Struthio camelus: one gene and its partner. The protein of the gene in region 2 purifies or fractionates together with the protein of the main gene of each other region. This does not show direct contact. Links are inferred from orthologs where the notes say so. Each region holds a gene or a part of one and is shown on either strand. Other genes may lie near its edges.

The links.
Region 1: the proteins of KCMF1 (region 2) and ABHD10 purify together in Homo sapiens (affinity purification with mass spectrometry; 3 studies listed by BioGRID and IntAct, counting the BioPlex papers as one, with this or other methods). This does not show direct contact. The link is inferred for Struthio camelus from reciprocal best matches to the Homo sapiens genes KCMF1 and ABHD10.

Annotation. Positions count from the first base shown.
Region 1 is NC_090942.1:102,380,902-102,388,161, forward strand, and holds the start of ABHD10 (palmitoyl-protein thioesterase ABHD10, mitochondrial), read left to right. Parts: upstream 1-4,203; 5' UTR 4,204-4,254; coding exon 4,255-4,390; intron 4,391-7,260. Other genes in the region: PHLDB2 (pleckstrin homology-like domain family B member 2), read left to right, coding at 1-41, 812-952. UniProt on the Homo sapiens protein: Acts as an acyl-protein thioesterase that hydrolyzes fatty acids from acylated residues in proteins.
Region 2 is NC_090981.1:8,344,730-8,352,049, forward strand, and holds the start of KCMF1 (E3 ubiquitin-protein ligase KCMF1), read left to right. Parts: upstream 1-4,314; 5' UTR 4,315-4,517; coding exon 4,518-4,533; intron 4,534-7,320. UniProt on the Homo sapiens protein: E3 ubiquitin-protein ligase which accepts ubiquitin from an E2 ubiquitin-conjugating enzyme and then transfers it to targeted substrates, promoting their degradation by the proteasome.

The DNA.
Region 1 (7,260 bases), on a different chromosome or scaffold from region 2:
TTGAAGAAGTCTATTATGATCATCTAAAGAATGCATATAAGGTAATGTTTGTTACTGTTGTTTTAAAACTGAGTATTGTATGGCACCCAAAGTGCAGTAGTAGCCTTTGTAAATACAAAGGGAGAGTTGACAATATAAAAAACCTAACACATGAACAGGGTGGAGGAAAAAGATGAAGCCAGACCACTGATAAGCATTATTCTTTTATATCAGTGCAAATAGAGAGATAGAGGAGAGAGAGAGTGAGTGTCTGTGTGCCAAGTGATAGTTCCTCATGGGATCTGCTGGAGGAATTCGTTAGCCCTACTCTTGGCTAGACCACTGAATTCAGTGGCTTTGGCAAATCAAGAGATGGCAGTGTGAGCCTATCATAGGGAGGGAGTTAACTGGTACCTGCAGCTGATGGCATCCCCTTGCCTCACATCTATCCTTTAGAAGAGCTGTGAACTCTCTGAACTTATCCTTGGCACCTGGACTTGTTTCAGCCATAGTGCTTTTGGCCTCTGGATGGGATACCTAGGGAATTCGTTGTTTGTACATGAAGCAACTGTTGGGAGCCCTGTACTGCTGTATAATAATCAAGAGTGGAAATATGTCATAAAAAAGTGTTTGTGCTGGATGCAAGCACTTTAAACAGATCTCTGCTTCCAGGACTGCAACGTAGGATGGCAGTGCTCAGCATTTTGCATTGCATCTTTCTCCTTAACCCTGTGCTAAATCTCCCTGTAAATAATTGTACTTATGGTGCCAATTCATTGGCACCATTTTCATTCTTTTGATATCCTTCTTTCTTCTTTTTGTTTTATTTTAGAGTCCCAATCCACTACTCACTTTCAGTGTTAAGACACATGACCGGATATACTATATGGTTGCTCCAACGCCAGAAGCCATGAGAATATGGATGGATGTTATTGTTACAGGCGCAGAAGGCTACACCCACTTCATGTTATAATAAAATGGGGCAATAGGGCATATTGCAATAACCTAACATATGAAGTTAGCCATATGTAGTAAAATCCGAAAAGCCACATACATTGCTGGTGAATGCTCAGAAATACCCTCCTTATGATGTGCACCCAAAACGTCAGAATGAAAGGGTTTTATAAATGCACTGAAAAGGAGGACCTGTTGCTTATTTTAGTTGATCTGTATAGGAGCAAAAGAGCTAAAGCTGTTCAGTCATAGTGCTCTGAAATGGATAATCAGGCAGTTTGAATGACAGCATCTTAATTCAATGATAGTTTTGTAAAAATTCTCCTATACAGAGAATGTCTTCATAAACTCATACTAAACAGTTTACAAATGTGCGTGTTCTCATCTGTATGCAACAATTCTAGTAATGGAACAAAAAGGTATAATAGCATATATTTTAATATGCAACATTTGACATTTATAGATGATTAGCTGACTTTTTAAAACTCTTTTAGTCAAGTATTTTATAAAACAAAAAGAAAAAAAAAAGGAAACCTAAGGTACACACACTTGCCTTAGTAGTTAAGCATTACAACAGAGCCAAAGAGTTATACAGTTCCCCTATCATAATGTTTTTCTTTTTCAAATTGTTAGTTGTACTTTAGCTTTCTGTAATAGGACAGTGCCAAAACTCTTCCTGACTTTTAACATAATTAAATTGTTAAAATATTCTGTATAGTCAAATAACCCAGTTGCACCAACTGGATATTTTGGATATTTAAAGTCTGCATCTGTGGAGCTCAACAAAAAAAAAAAAAAAGCGGATAGCTTTATAAAGATGGATTTTTTTCCACAAGGTGATATTTAAAAAAAAAAAAAAAAAAGGAAACTGACATTAGAAGGAAACTTTATCGTAAGGAGGTGTTTTCTTAAACTGCCTTGTTGAGTAAATTGCGCTGGATCTTACACCAATTTTCTTTTGATGTAGTCAGGTCCCAGAATGGTTCTAATCTTACTGTGTGCCAAGTGAACGCTCTACTCAGATGTCTCAGATACTGGTCCCTGTGAGGCCCGTGTCAAAATTCACTGAAGCCAAGATTTCAGTCTAGAATATTTGTTTTTTATATGCATGTCTGTACAAAGTAATGCTGTCACATAGAATGCAAATAAAGAGGCAAGTTCTAAGAGTTTACACTAAGCAGTGTATAAAAAAAAAAAAAAAAAAGAAAAAACCCAAAGTTTTAAGTAACTGAAATCTGAAGATACAGTGGTCCCCCATTTTAAAACTACTTTCAGGTCCTTGACAAATGTTGCAAAAACATAGAAGTATTTAATGGAACTGAATTTCAAGAAAGTCTCATATATTACGACTTTAACGAGGTCCTCATTCCAGTAAGTAAGAGTTGTATGTGCTATGTGGTTTGTGTAAGTAAAGCAAGCCCATCAGACATTTTCCCTTAATGAAAAGTTAATGGCTTTTGATGGAGCAAATTAAAAACTGAAAGCAGAAAACAAAATAGGCTGACAGTATTTTTATTGTACTTTTAAAACCCTGTATCTGTAATGAACGGGTATTAATTTTTTGTGGTATACACAGGTGACATGGTTGGTCTAGCATGATGTACACCACTTGTGACTTGAATCATGAAAGAAGGGACAGTTATCATCTGTGCAGATCACCATAAGACGCTTGTAATCTAACGATTTAAAGCACTATCAGAAATTAATTGCTTTGGTTTATATAATTATTATTGTTCCCTGATGTATCTTGATTTTACTTATAAGTATGGTTTTCTAATCATGATTTTTGTATCCTGCATGATGCAATGAAGGCATTTCAGTAAATGTTTTTAAAAATACGTGTGTTTTAAATATTCACCTCATTCTTCATTTTGAGATTTTTCTGCTTTTCTTTTAAACAATTTTGCATACACTTGTGTAAGCAGTTTTGTCTTTCTCAGTAATAATTATTCTAGCCATTCCTTTTTTTTCCTCAGAAAAGAGCAACAAAAAATAATACTTCAGGAATGGCAGTGAAATTAGGAGCATAGTCTGTTTATTGCATATACATAACTTACCGATTTTTACAATCCACCCAGTTTGAAAATTGTAAATCAACAGCCCTGGAAACTTTTTGTTTAACTACAAAATAGAAATTGCTGTATCTCACGATTTTCACAGTTTGGCTAATATTTTGTTTTGATTGTGACCCTGACGGCAGGCGATAGCAGCGCCCTCCTCATAGGAGCCCATGCAGTTTGTGCCTCCTTCAGGAGGATTTCCGTTGCCATCACACACACGCAGAGGGGTGGGTTTTGCACTGGTGCACATCAAGACGGAGTAACCTACGCAGTTTTGCCATGTACCATGTTAAGCCAAGAGCGGTAGGCTCCATCTCCCACGATCAGCCAGCGAGCCCAGCAAGCTTGCCTGCGGGGCAGTCGGGTGCCTCCTTTACCTTCGAGCATGCCGGGATGGGGCATTTACAAAACACCGGGGCTGTATCCAGCAGCTTCCACCGCTGGTGGGTTGGTAGGTGCGTTGCTGGCCCTTTCACGCAGGGACATGGCTGGCACTTCCATGAGGGAACACCCTTGGCCCTGTGGGCGCTGACTTCTCTTAGCGTTATTTCCTTTCTTTTCGGGTGCCCGCCGTGGCCGGTATATAAAAGGTACAGGGGGTCAAGAGCTGTTCGAAGTAAAACCATGTTTTGGCAACCTTGGCCTTTATTTGCATGGACGAGTACTGGCGGGGGAAACGGTAGCTGAGGATCAGTTACTTAGAAGGGCCGGTAGGTGGAGAAATTGTTAAGCGCTAACGCTGCCAGACGGGCGACCGAGGGAGGGAGGAACGGGTCTTGAACGATCCTTTCTGGCCGCGCCTGTAAGAGCCACGTAGTTACATGCAACAAAATGTCTTAGGCCCACGTATCTAGAGAATACCTGAAATACTCGACTTTTTTAGACTGGGTCTTACGAGCCCTTAAACAGAGAGGCCTCTGCCGACGATCACCCCTCGGGAACACATCGCCTCTAAGGCAACAACGCCCATGACGCGTTTGGGGTAAATTTTAGCTTTCCCTCCTCAACACCAGCCCTAACGGCCGCGGGAAGGCGGCAACGGCCGCGGGGGGCGGGGCACCCCCTGCCGCGCGGCCCCGCCCCTCCCCGGGCCGCCGCCAGCAGCGAGCAGCGAGAGCGCACGCGCGCCCCTTCCCGGCGGGCCCACGGTGGGCGGGGGCGCGCATGCGCGTGGCCTGCCTCTCCCCCACTACGGCGGGCGGCGCGTGCGCAGTGAGGCGCGTCCTCCGCCCGCCGCCGTGCGGGGCGTGCGTTGGCGGCCATGACGGCGGCTGCGGGCGCGGTGCGGGGGCTGCTGCGGGGCGGCGGCGGCGTTGCCGCCGCGGGCTGCCTGGGGCGGGGGGGCCGCCACGTCTCAGACCCCTTGCTGCCGCTGCAGGCTGCCCTGGGGCTCGCGGGTAAGGGAAGAGCCGCGGGAGGGCCCCTGCTGGTCTTCCTGAGCTGGCCCTCGGGCGCCGGGGGCGTCAGTCAGTCAGGTTGGGGGGCGGGGGAGGAATTAGATGTGTCACTGTCTGTCAGTCAGGCAGTCGGTAGGCTTAGGGAGGTCATCTCCCCCCCCATGCCCCCCCTCCCTCCCCAGCCGCCCTTCAGCGCGGTGGCCCGGCCGTTAAAGTCCGTTAGCGGCCGCGTGCCGGGTGCGCGTGGGCTGCCGCGCCCTTTGCCGCCTGAGGGGGAGGAGGCGCGGGGTGCCCGCCGGGACCGCGCGGGCCCGTGTGCGCGCTCGAGGGGCAGCTGCCTTCCCGCAGGGGTGTGTTCACGCCCTCCTGAGCGCCTGCTGCCGCTTTCGGCGGAGCTGGAAAACGGAGGAGGTGGCCCAGTTCGCTTGGCTGTGCGTGAAACGTGCCTAGGGGCGAGGCCGCGCCAGGCCGCTGAAAGGCTCTACCGGCCTCCGCTGTTGAGCAAAGTGCTTCGCCTGCCCAGACACAAGGCTGCTTTCTCGCTCTTCCAGACCCAGTGCTTGTCTAATTTGTGGAGTTTTTCCAGTTCCCTAAACTTGACAAAACTGTTCGCTTTTCTTACTGAGGGGGTGAACCTCCCCTGAGGCTACTGAAAGTAGTAGTGAATAAAAGTGTTTGCTGCTGCTAAGGGTGTGTGTTGTGTGTCTGCATAAAAATCTACTTGCAACGATTTTTCTTGCTTTTTTTTTTCCATTGAAGTTTAGAGGAAATGATTGTGATGTGATCAGAGCAGCTGATCGTTGAGTGTGCTGTCAGGTGCTCTGAGAGTGGGCTAAGCAGCAGTTCCCATTGGTGTCCTGGTGGCCTTTTTAACCCCGTAGCAACAGTGGTTGCATGAAGCAAAGTGTGGACAATGTAGAGTCTGTTATTTAGAAGAGCTGTGTTTGTCTGCTACTCCTCTTCACAGTCGGTAGGTTATAGAGCTTGAGCTTCCCAAGTTGTTCACAGCGTTTCTGTGGCTTTGGTTAAGGCTTCCACCTGTGCAGTTCTGGCCTCATTTGCGGTGGCTCTTGGTCATAACACAAATTTGCACAGTGTTTCTGGTATGAGAGAGTTCCATAGTATCAGACAAGGCTTCTGGGTCTTCCTGTGGCTGCCTTCTGCTGACCGTCGCTTGCAGTAATCTGCACCCTTCAGAAGTGCTTCCCTGATCTTACTGAGGTCTTTCAGTGAAATCAGGAGAAGAAATTGCTGGGTGGATGTTCAGTTATTAATGTTCTCGACTGATGTAAAGAGAAGTCTGAGAACATGGCTTATGTGAACTGTGCTTTCAGATTGGCTGGCTAGGGCATAGGCTTTAGTTTTTTGCATTATTCAGGTTAGGATTGCTGCCGGCGCGTTGACAGTATCAGTTGTCAAATGTACAAGACTAGTTTGTGGAGTAGCTTAGAAAGCAGTTGCCTTGTAGCTGCAGTTTAAAGCTTGCTCAGTGTCAGAGTTTGAAGGCACCCTCCAGAGCGCTGCAGAATGGAAACCTAAGCCCTGCAGAGGTGGTTAGGGTTTATGGAAGAGAACAATATTACTAATTCTTTCTCTCAAGTGTAGTGCTTTCTGGTGTATCAAATCTGTTGTTGGCGGGTGAAGGAGTGACTGACTTCCTGGCATAGACACAAACAAAAAGCTGTAGTGTGGACACGTCTCAATAAATAGACCTTTACTGTGATATTTATCTCCTTCATAATAATAGCAGCATTGGTAGAGTAAAAAACTGTTCCAATTTTTCAGGAAAGATTTATTGTTTTAAATCTGTAGATCAAATTTTTAGCTCTTATATTTTAACTGTTAGCATTCAGTGTTTTGTAATATTTAGCATCTTTTCTGTGTGCCCCTTTACTCATGCGTGTGCAAGTTAATACAAAAAGCTTGACTGTAATCTCTCTGATAGTGAGAAAACAGAACCCAAAGCTGCAGAACAGTTAAAAGGTGTAATACTGTCAAGGCCTGTTTTTGCAGAATCTAGCTACTGGTTATGTCCCCGGGGAGCCCTTGTCTTTCATTTTGGGTAGCATGGGCTTTGTACCCCGCTATTGATTTGCAGTATTCAAGAACAAATCCTCTTTTATTCTAAGAATTAAAAGTATCAAAGTCTTATCGGAAGTCTAGACCAAGCTTTCAGTTTAACAAATTATCTTGCGAAGTGGGATAATAGAGGGGATTAATTCTCACTAACACCTCTGTACAAATCACTTACCTTCACCCACAATAGACAGCTAAACTTAGATTAAATGTGATAACAGCCATTGAGATTCAGTGTAGTATTCATTAGTCATTATTGACTTTGATAATCCTTCTTCCTTGTTTGAAACCAGCTCAAATTTTTGATAGTTATTGGTATGAATAACAGAGTCCAACCTAATGTTTCTTTTCAAAATATGTCTGGTTTGCTGTCTTGAACTAAAACAACATAATTTCATAAGTTCTCGGTACACTGATATGAAACCTTCCCTTTCTTCTAATAATGTGTAGCAGATGACTTTGCCAGAAGTTGAGCCAAACCATCTTGCATTTTTAAAATATTTGCAAAATACTTAGATTTGCAAAGTGGTATATTTTATTCTAGATAAATGTGGAACAACATGAGCACTGGAATAATTTATCTACCCTAGCACGAATACCCATCAAACCGTGTGATAAGATGTCTGTGTCTGTTCAGGAGGTGATTAAAAAAATCACACATCTGCGAAGGTCAACTGTGTTTCTTCTTATGGGATGTGTTTAATTACGTTACTCTGTATTTACAGAAATTACAAGTTTTTTTTTTTTTTTTTATCTTCTGTGATTCATGTCTGGGAAAAAGACTGATGTTAAGG
Region 2 (7,320 bases):
AAATTTAATGATCAACTAACCGGAACAAAAACAAACTAATTCTTCCTGTTTATTCCCCATCCTGCATGCATTTGTGTACAGACACTTCAGAGAGGTACTCAAGCATGATGATTTCCCAGAAAGGCAACAAGAGGTTTCCCCAGAGTCTTTTCTTGTAGGTACTTCCTTTCCTGCATGCACTTGCTGGAGGTATCCCTGCTTGAGCCCTGTTTCGCTGACTGCATGGTCTCTATAACTCTCCCCTTCCCCCATCTCTCCTAGTTTAAAGCCCTCCTTACCAGGTTGGCCAGCCTGTTGGCGGAGATGCATATGCCCCATTTGGTGAGGTGGGTCCCATCTCTCCCACTCAGTTGTTGATCTTCAAACACAGTCCCGTGGTCATAGAAACCAAAACCCTGGTGCCAACACCAGCTGCGCAGCCAGTTGTTTACTTGGAGAATCCATCTACTCCTCCTCCCATCCTTCCCCCTCGCTGGCAAGATTGAGGAAAAAAATGACCAAGGCCCCCAGACCCCTGACCTCCACCCCCAGAGCTCTATAGTCACATTTAATACTTTCCAAGTTGCCCTTGGCAATATCCTTGGTGCTCACGTGAAAGAGCAGCAGAGGGTAATAGTTGGATGTGTAGACAAGCCTCGGCAGTCTTCCCATGACATCTCAGATTTGAGCCCCTGGCAGGCAGCAAACCTCTCTAGACAAGAGGTCAGGTCAGCAGACAGGTGCTTCTGTCCCCTGCAGCAGGGAGTCACCCACATCACCCACTCTACGCTTCTTCCAGGTGTTCATGTGTGGCATAGGATCTGTCAGCCTGGTCACTTGAAGCCATACCCAGCTCCTCCTCAGCTTGGAAGGCACTGAACCTGTTCATCAACTGCAAGTCTTCAGGAGGAGCAAGAGCCTCTCTCCTCATACAAGGGGTGACCAGTTTGCAGCCTTCATCTCCTACAGACTTATGACTTACCGTTCCACATGGCACAGAGCCCACCTGCACCTCCACTGCTGTGGGGGATTGAGACTCCTGAAGCTGTAAGGTCTCTGAGAATATCCTATCTATCTCTCGCTCATCTTCACGGATGCTACGCAGCCTGCTGACTTCCTCCCATAACTCCTTTACCTGGTGACACAACTCATCAACAACAGCATACCTTCTGCAGGAGAGCTGACTGTCAGCCCCAGCCTCACAGAGAGCCTCCAGGCACTCCCTGTAGCCTGAGACCTGCAGAGCTGCATCCACTGTCAAAAGGTCTGTCTGGGTAGAAGCCTCTGACATGGCAAACACAGCAACTCCAGCAGCTACTGGGGAAATGTGCTCCATAGCATATCATAACCATATCTGAGGAAATGTATGCTACTATGACTGGAGATGAAGGCACCTTCTTTACACCCTTCTGCATAAACTGCTGCATCTGCTCACTGCACTCTAGGCCTGGCTCTTATATAGGCCTCTGCCTAGCACTGACTCACAGGGCCAGCTGGAACAAAGGCCCCAACTCCCTCTGATCAGGGGCAACCAACAGAGCTTGTTAGCAGCAGCTACACCTAGCTAGAGCTTCCCAGGAGAAGTTAAGGCCTCCTGCAGTTGTCCTTGCCTAGCTCTTCCCTGTCAGCAGTAAGCACCATCTAGTTCCTCAGAGGGTCCCCAGAAAGCCCCCACAACCTCCAACAAGGTTCTCAGAGGTTCTAAGCAGAGCCCAGACGCTGCTGCGCAAACTGCTGCCTCTGTTAGCTGTGCTCTGGAAAAGAGGCTACAAATTCTGCTTGGCTGCCCCAGGCATCAGAGCTGCTAAGGAGCTGTGCTCACCAGTGTGTGCTGGACGTGGATTTAACAACTGAAGCACAGAGAGATGAGATGATTAGCCCAAGGTCTTGCAAGGACAGAAACAAGAACTGAATCCAAATCTTCTGAGTCCCAGTGAAATGCCTGGGCTGCAGGACTGTTTTTTTTTGTCTAACCAGATATGCAGAGGAGCTCTCATGGGAAGCCAGTCTGCCAGGAATATGATGAAACAAAGCATAGGTCAAAATAGTAGTGTAGTGCTCAAAGTGGGGGCATAGTTACATATACCAGGAACCACAGCCTCACACGAAGACAAGATATTGCTGATCACCTGAGGCAATAAGTTCTGAGACAGCTTGCTACAGAGCCTTTCTAAGGACTGAGGAGGAGCATCAACCAAGAACTGTTGATGATTTGTATTTTGCCTCTGGATGAGACAGCTACCATTTGCATTTAAAAATGGTAGTGCTGAAAATAAGCAGTAGGACATGCTGCATTACACATTGTCCCACTCTGTGCACTGTTGCTATGTAACACCAGCAGAGACATGCAAAGCTTTGGCCTCCAGCACTATCCTGGATCTACCCCTTTCACAGTTTTATAGTGAGTTTTCTCATAGTTGTGGATTTCTCTTTAGTTTCTTATCTATTGCATGTTTCTTGCAAACTTTTTGCCCTCCACAATGATGCCCTCCTATTGCTTTCAACGGTAGCAAAGCTACTGGCTGCCCTCACTCAAAACGGCCCTCAATTTCCCTTACAACTCCTCCATGTGTAGATATAGCTGCTGCTGCTAATGAAAATAGTCACCACCCACTGCTGTTTTCAAAGAGACTGGGCCTAGGTTATTCCCTCACTAGGCATCGGGGTTAAGAAACTGCAAGAGATGGAAGAGAAGTGATGGAAGGCAAGCAGGACTAGACAAAGCATAGAGGAAAGCAGTGTGTACACATGGGGGGGAGAGGCAGAGGCATAATATGATTAGCATGGGATGCAGTGCAAAGAATGAAATGGGGCACCTCATCCTGCCAATCATTAGTGTTTGCTCTTGCCTTATCTTTGCAGCTTGGTGTTTGGGTCCTTCTGGCCTGTGGGTTCTTGTGGCCTTCCAGACTGATGAGAAGGAGAACAAGGGTACAAGAACTGTGGGAGTAAGACATCTGAGGTTGTAGCATGATGTGAGGTACAGAAGGGAAACTGAGGAAAGGTTGTAAAGCTATTCAGAGAAAGATGTAATTGGGGAGAAGAGGACAAGGAGAGAGGAAGACTGAGCCCTTAATAGGCAAAAGAAAAAAAAGGAAGATGATGGAGAGCATGAGGGGGTTGGATTGGTGGTGATAAAGAAAACAGAGGGACAGGAGCAGAATAAGAGATGAAAACACAGGGGTAGAAGAAAATGAAGACAGGTGGGGACAGCTTGGATGGGAAAGGTGGGGGAGACTGAGTCAGAAGAAAATATGGGGAAAGGTACTTTTTAAAATAAATAGCTGACTAATGATTCTCCACCCTCCTGTGACACCAGGGCTTATTTTGCTGCCCGGCCTAGTAGGCAAACAGGCTGCAAGGCTCAGGCAGGAGCTTGACTGAGGTGGATTGTTTGATAGGTGTTTCACCTTTACAGTTTCTTCTCCAGACCAATGCCTTTTTCTGCAAAAGACAAAAAATTGCAGGGAAGGCAAACAGAATTCTGCAAGTCACAGACTTTTTGCTTCTTCATCATTCTGTATAAGGTTCTGTATAATACAGTCAGGCATCCGGGACAGGACAGGAAGCATTAGGCACATGTCACACTCAGTGCTGCTTGCTGCACCTCCCCGAATTAGAGGGGGTTTTGCAAGCCACACTGAGGAGGAGTGATAATAGGAAGTATCGCGAACCACCGGGCTGAACTCTCCTCCCTCAAGGCTGCTGCCACTCCTCACTCCCTAGCCTCCTCAGTAGGGAACGAGGAGGGAGGTCTCCGTGCACCCGCAAAGGTGCAGCCCCATCGCTACAGCAGCATGGTCTACTACAACAATCGGGGACTCGTCCCCTCCCCCTTCCGCAACACGCGGGCAACTGTCACAGGCTGGAATGGTGGAGGAGGCTGCGTCTTAGGAGAATGCCTAGAGACAGCAGTCTCTTCCAGTTTGGAGGGACAGGGAAGGGCCACCATCCAGTTTATGGGGGCTCCGCTCGGCTCCGCGGCGCTCTCCGTGTTGGGTGGTGACGGTCCCCCTTTCCCTTGGCTGTGTACTTCCTCTTCCTTCCTGCATGAAGCAGCTACTGGGCGGAAAAGGAACGGGGGAAAAAAATGGGTGGAGAAAGAAAGGAATCGCGAGGTCTTGAGCCGACGTGGGGGTTAGAGCTAAGAAGCACAAGAAGGAGTTAGTGTTCTTTCTATAGCAGCAGGAGAAGAAACAGAGGTGGGGACTCAGGAAGAAGAAGAAAGGGGGGGTGTAGAGGAAAGCGGCGGAAGAGGAAGGCGGCACTAGGAGCCGGCGGGGCTTAAGAGCCACCGTATCAGGGTGCCTAGGAAGTCGTTGCTGCTGGATCCGCCCCCCAGAGGGAGGGAGAAAAAGTGAGGCAGGCTGGGGCTGTTGGAGTAGATTCCTTTTTGCTCCCCCCCCCCCCTTTCTATTGCTTGCTCGTTTCGCGCCTGGGGCTTAGTGCGTACGGCGGGAGGGGCCCAGGCTGGAGCATCGCCTGAACAGCCCAGCAGGAGCCTGGGGACGGGCTTCGGCTGCAGCCTCTGAACTAGGATGTCCCGACATGAAGGTGAGAGATTTAAGGCCGCGGGGGGGAGGGGCCTTTGGGCCTGGTCCGGTGTTAGGGCCTGGCATATCACTGTGTGAGATGGGGTCAACATGGCGGCGTCGCCGCTAATGAGAGTGGGGCCTAGGGAGCTGGTGGCGGAAAGTGGCCATGGTGGGAGGAGGAAGGCGGCGGCCAGGCCCCGCTTTGCAGTGTCATGGGAGGGGAGGTGGCAGCCGTGTCCGTTACGGGCAGGCCCGAGCCCTTTCTCTATCGCCACTAAGCGCGCACACCAGGCCTGCGGTTGCCAAGGCGGGGGGGCCTACTGTGGTTTGAGGTGGGCCCGGCCTCTGCCACCCCTCACTGGCTTGTGGCTCGGGCCTTGCTCCACCCCGCACAAGGAGCGTGTCCGAGGTGGATGATAGAGAGGAGGAGGAGAAGACAGGAGAGTTGTTTATTTTTGTTCCTCTTCCTTCACAACTTGAAGTATGGGAAGAGAGAGAGAGGTGAGGAGGCCCTACCCAGGTGTGTGGGGTGCCCCTTCTCTTAGGATTGGCCCTGTAGGGGGTGGAGGAAGGACGTGGGTGGGCCTGGGGGAAATCTGTAAGGGGTGGGTTTGGGGGGGGGGGAAGGAAGGAGGAGGGTGCAAGATGTGTAGGAGTGTTGGGGGGGAGGTCAGTGTCAAAGCTGTGAGTTGTGAATAGTTTGGTGAGAAGGGGCACAGGAGGGGAAAGGAGGCTTGGCATGATGTGCCCCCTTTGAGGGGAGTACCCCTAAGTTTCTTAGGATGGGGAGGAGGAAAAGGGATTATGGGACATGATATGTAGGGAGAGCAGTGCTTGAGGGGAGGTGGTGCAGGGAGGGTGGCCTGGCATCCAGGAGAATTGAACTGGAGTGGGAAGGTTTGTTCAGTATAATGGAGGTGGAGGTTTTGCATGGCAGGTGGAGAAGAAACTCATGTATGTAATCAGGCTGTGATGTTGGGTTTGGGAAGAAAAAAAGTTTACCTAGTTCTTGTGGTCTTGCTTAGGTGTACTTTATATTTTGGTAGATCGAGAAGATCGAGAACTTTTTTTTTTTTTTTTTCCTAATGAATTTTGTATTTCAAAAGAGGAAATGAATGCTGATGTAGCATATTTTGTAGCATTAAGAGAGGTCATAATACAAATATATTTTATGTTTGCCCTTGTTCTTCTGTGTTCTTTGCTATGGGTGAGTTAAGTGGATAGTTGAGGATTAATCAAAAAGAGCAGTGAGAAGAATGGAGAGAAAGCTGAAAGTGAAGAGGGAATTTATGTAGAAAGAAGAGAGCGTGATATAAAGGAAGTTGTTTGTTTTTCTACCTATTCTTACTGAAAGATGAGGTAGTTAGGCTAATATTGAATATTTAATAGAAGCTCTGCCTTGTCTCATTAAATGATAAAGTTTTGCCATGTTAGTAACTAAATTTAGCATCTGTCTCTATAAATGATCTTCATTTTCCTAGAGCTGTGAAAATTATTTATTTAAAGAAGTGGAGACAGCTTTCAAAACGTTTGAAGATTAGATAAAGATATGTGCTAGAAGAATTCAGTGCTTGGGAGTAATATTATTAACTTCTAGATGGTGGGTTGGTAGCTTGGTGGTGGACTAAAGCAAGTATGATGGATGTTCAGTGTGTAGCTACAGTATTTTGCGTTTTGTTAGTGTGTATGTGTATATGTGTGCTTGCTTAGCTAAGAACAGTCTTGCCTGAATCCTCTAACACTTTTTTTCTTCTTCTATAGTAAAGGTATAACCAATCCTCTTGGTTCTTTTTTGATTAGAATGCTGCTTGCCTTTTTTATTATTTTATTTTATCTTTTTTTTATTAGAAGGTGGGGTTGCTGGATTTGTAAGCAGATAATGAGGTAAATGATAATAAGTGAGTAAAATGAGGGTTAATAAAGTTTTTGTTTGTGGTTTTATTGGAAAATGTACTCTGTAAATTGCTGCTGTGATAGCTATCCATAGTATGCAATTTAAAATATGATGATAGGATATAAACTTCTTAGATTGCACTGGTTAAAACCACAAAAATGGTATGATATGTTGTTCTTTAACTGTTCAGTGTTAATTCTTAAAGTCTACAACCTGCTGTTATAAATGGTTATATTTAGTAAAAAATATTTTGGTCTTGAAGTAGTGTTTTAATAAAGAAGAATTTTGCAAATGGATTTCTTTTTAAATGTGTTCCTCATAGAGGTTATATTTTGAAATTTTTCTAGTGGACATTAGATTTTGTTTGTAGTGGGGAAAATCGTGTTATTTCCGCGCTTGGATTTTTGCTGATGAATAGAAAAAGTGAGAAAAAACACTAAGCTTGGTTTTGTTAAAAATGAGAAGCAGGTATATGAGTGTGTGTTCTTTGAAGTTGCACTTTCCTTTAGAAATGGAAATAGCTATCTTCTAATAAGCTGTTGGTGAGTGTGAGGTTTTGGTAACTGTACATTGTCAATGCAAACATCTTCAAGTATGTTTTTAAAAAAAAAACCCGCAAGATATAAAGCTGCAGCAATGATTGTACTTTGATAGATGTTTAGAGGAGCCTGGTTTGTCTTTAGTTTTCTTAATCATTTTCTTTTACTCACCTTTTAACATGCTTTAAGTCTTAATTTTAGATTAGTTATGGGGTTAGAGTAAGTTGTCTTGATATAGGAATGGGTTTTTGCAGGGGGTGTTTTTGGAGTTTTGGGTTGGGGGGGGGTTAAGGGATGATGTTTTGTTTTGTTCCTCCAACCTGGATCAGATACTTGGTTTGTGTTAGAAGTATGGAAGTCCTTAAAACTGAAA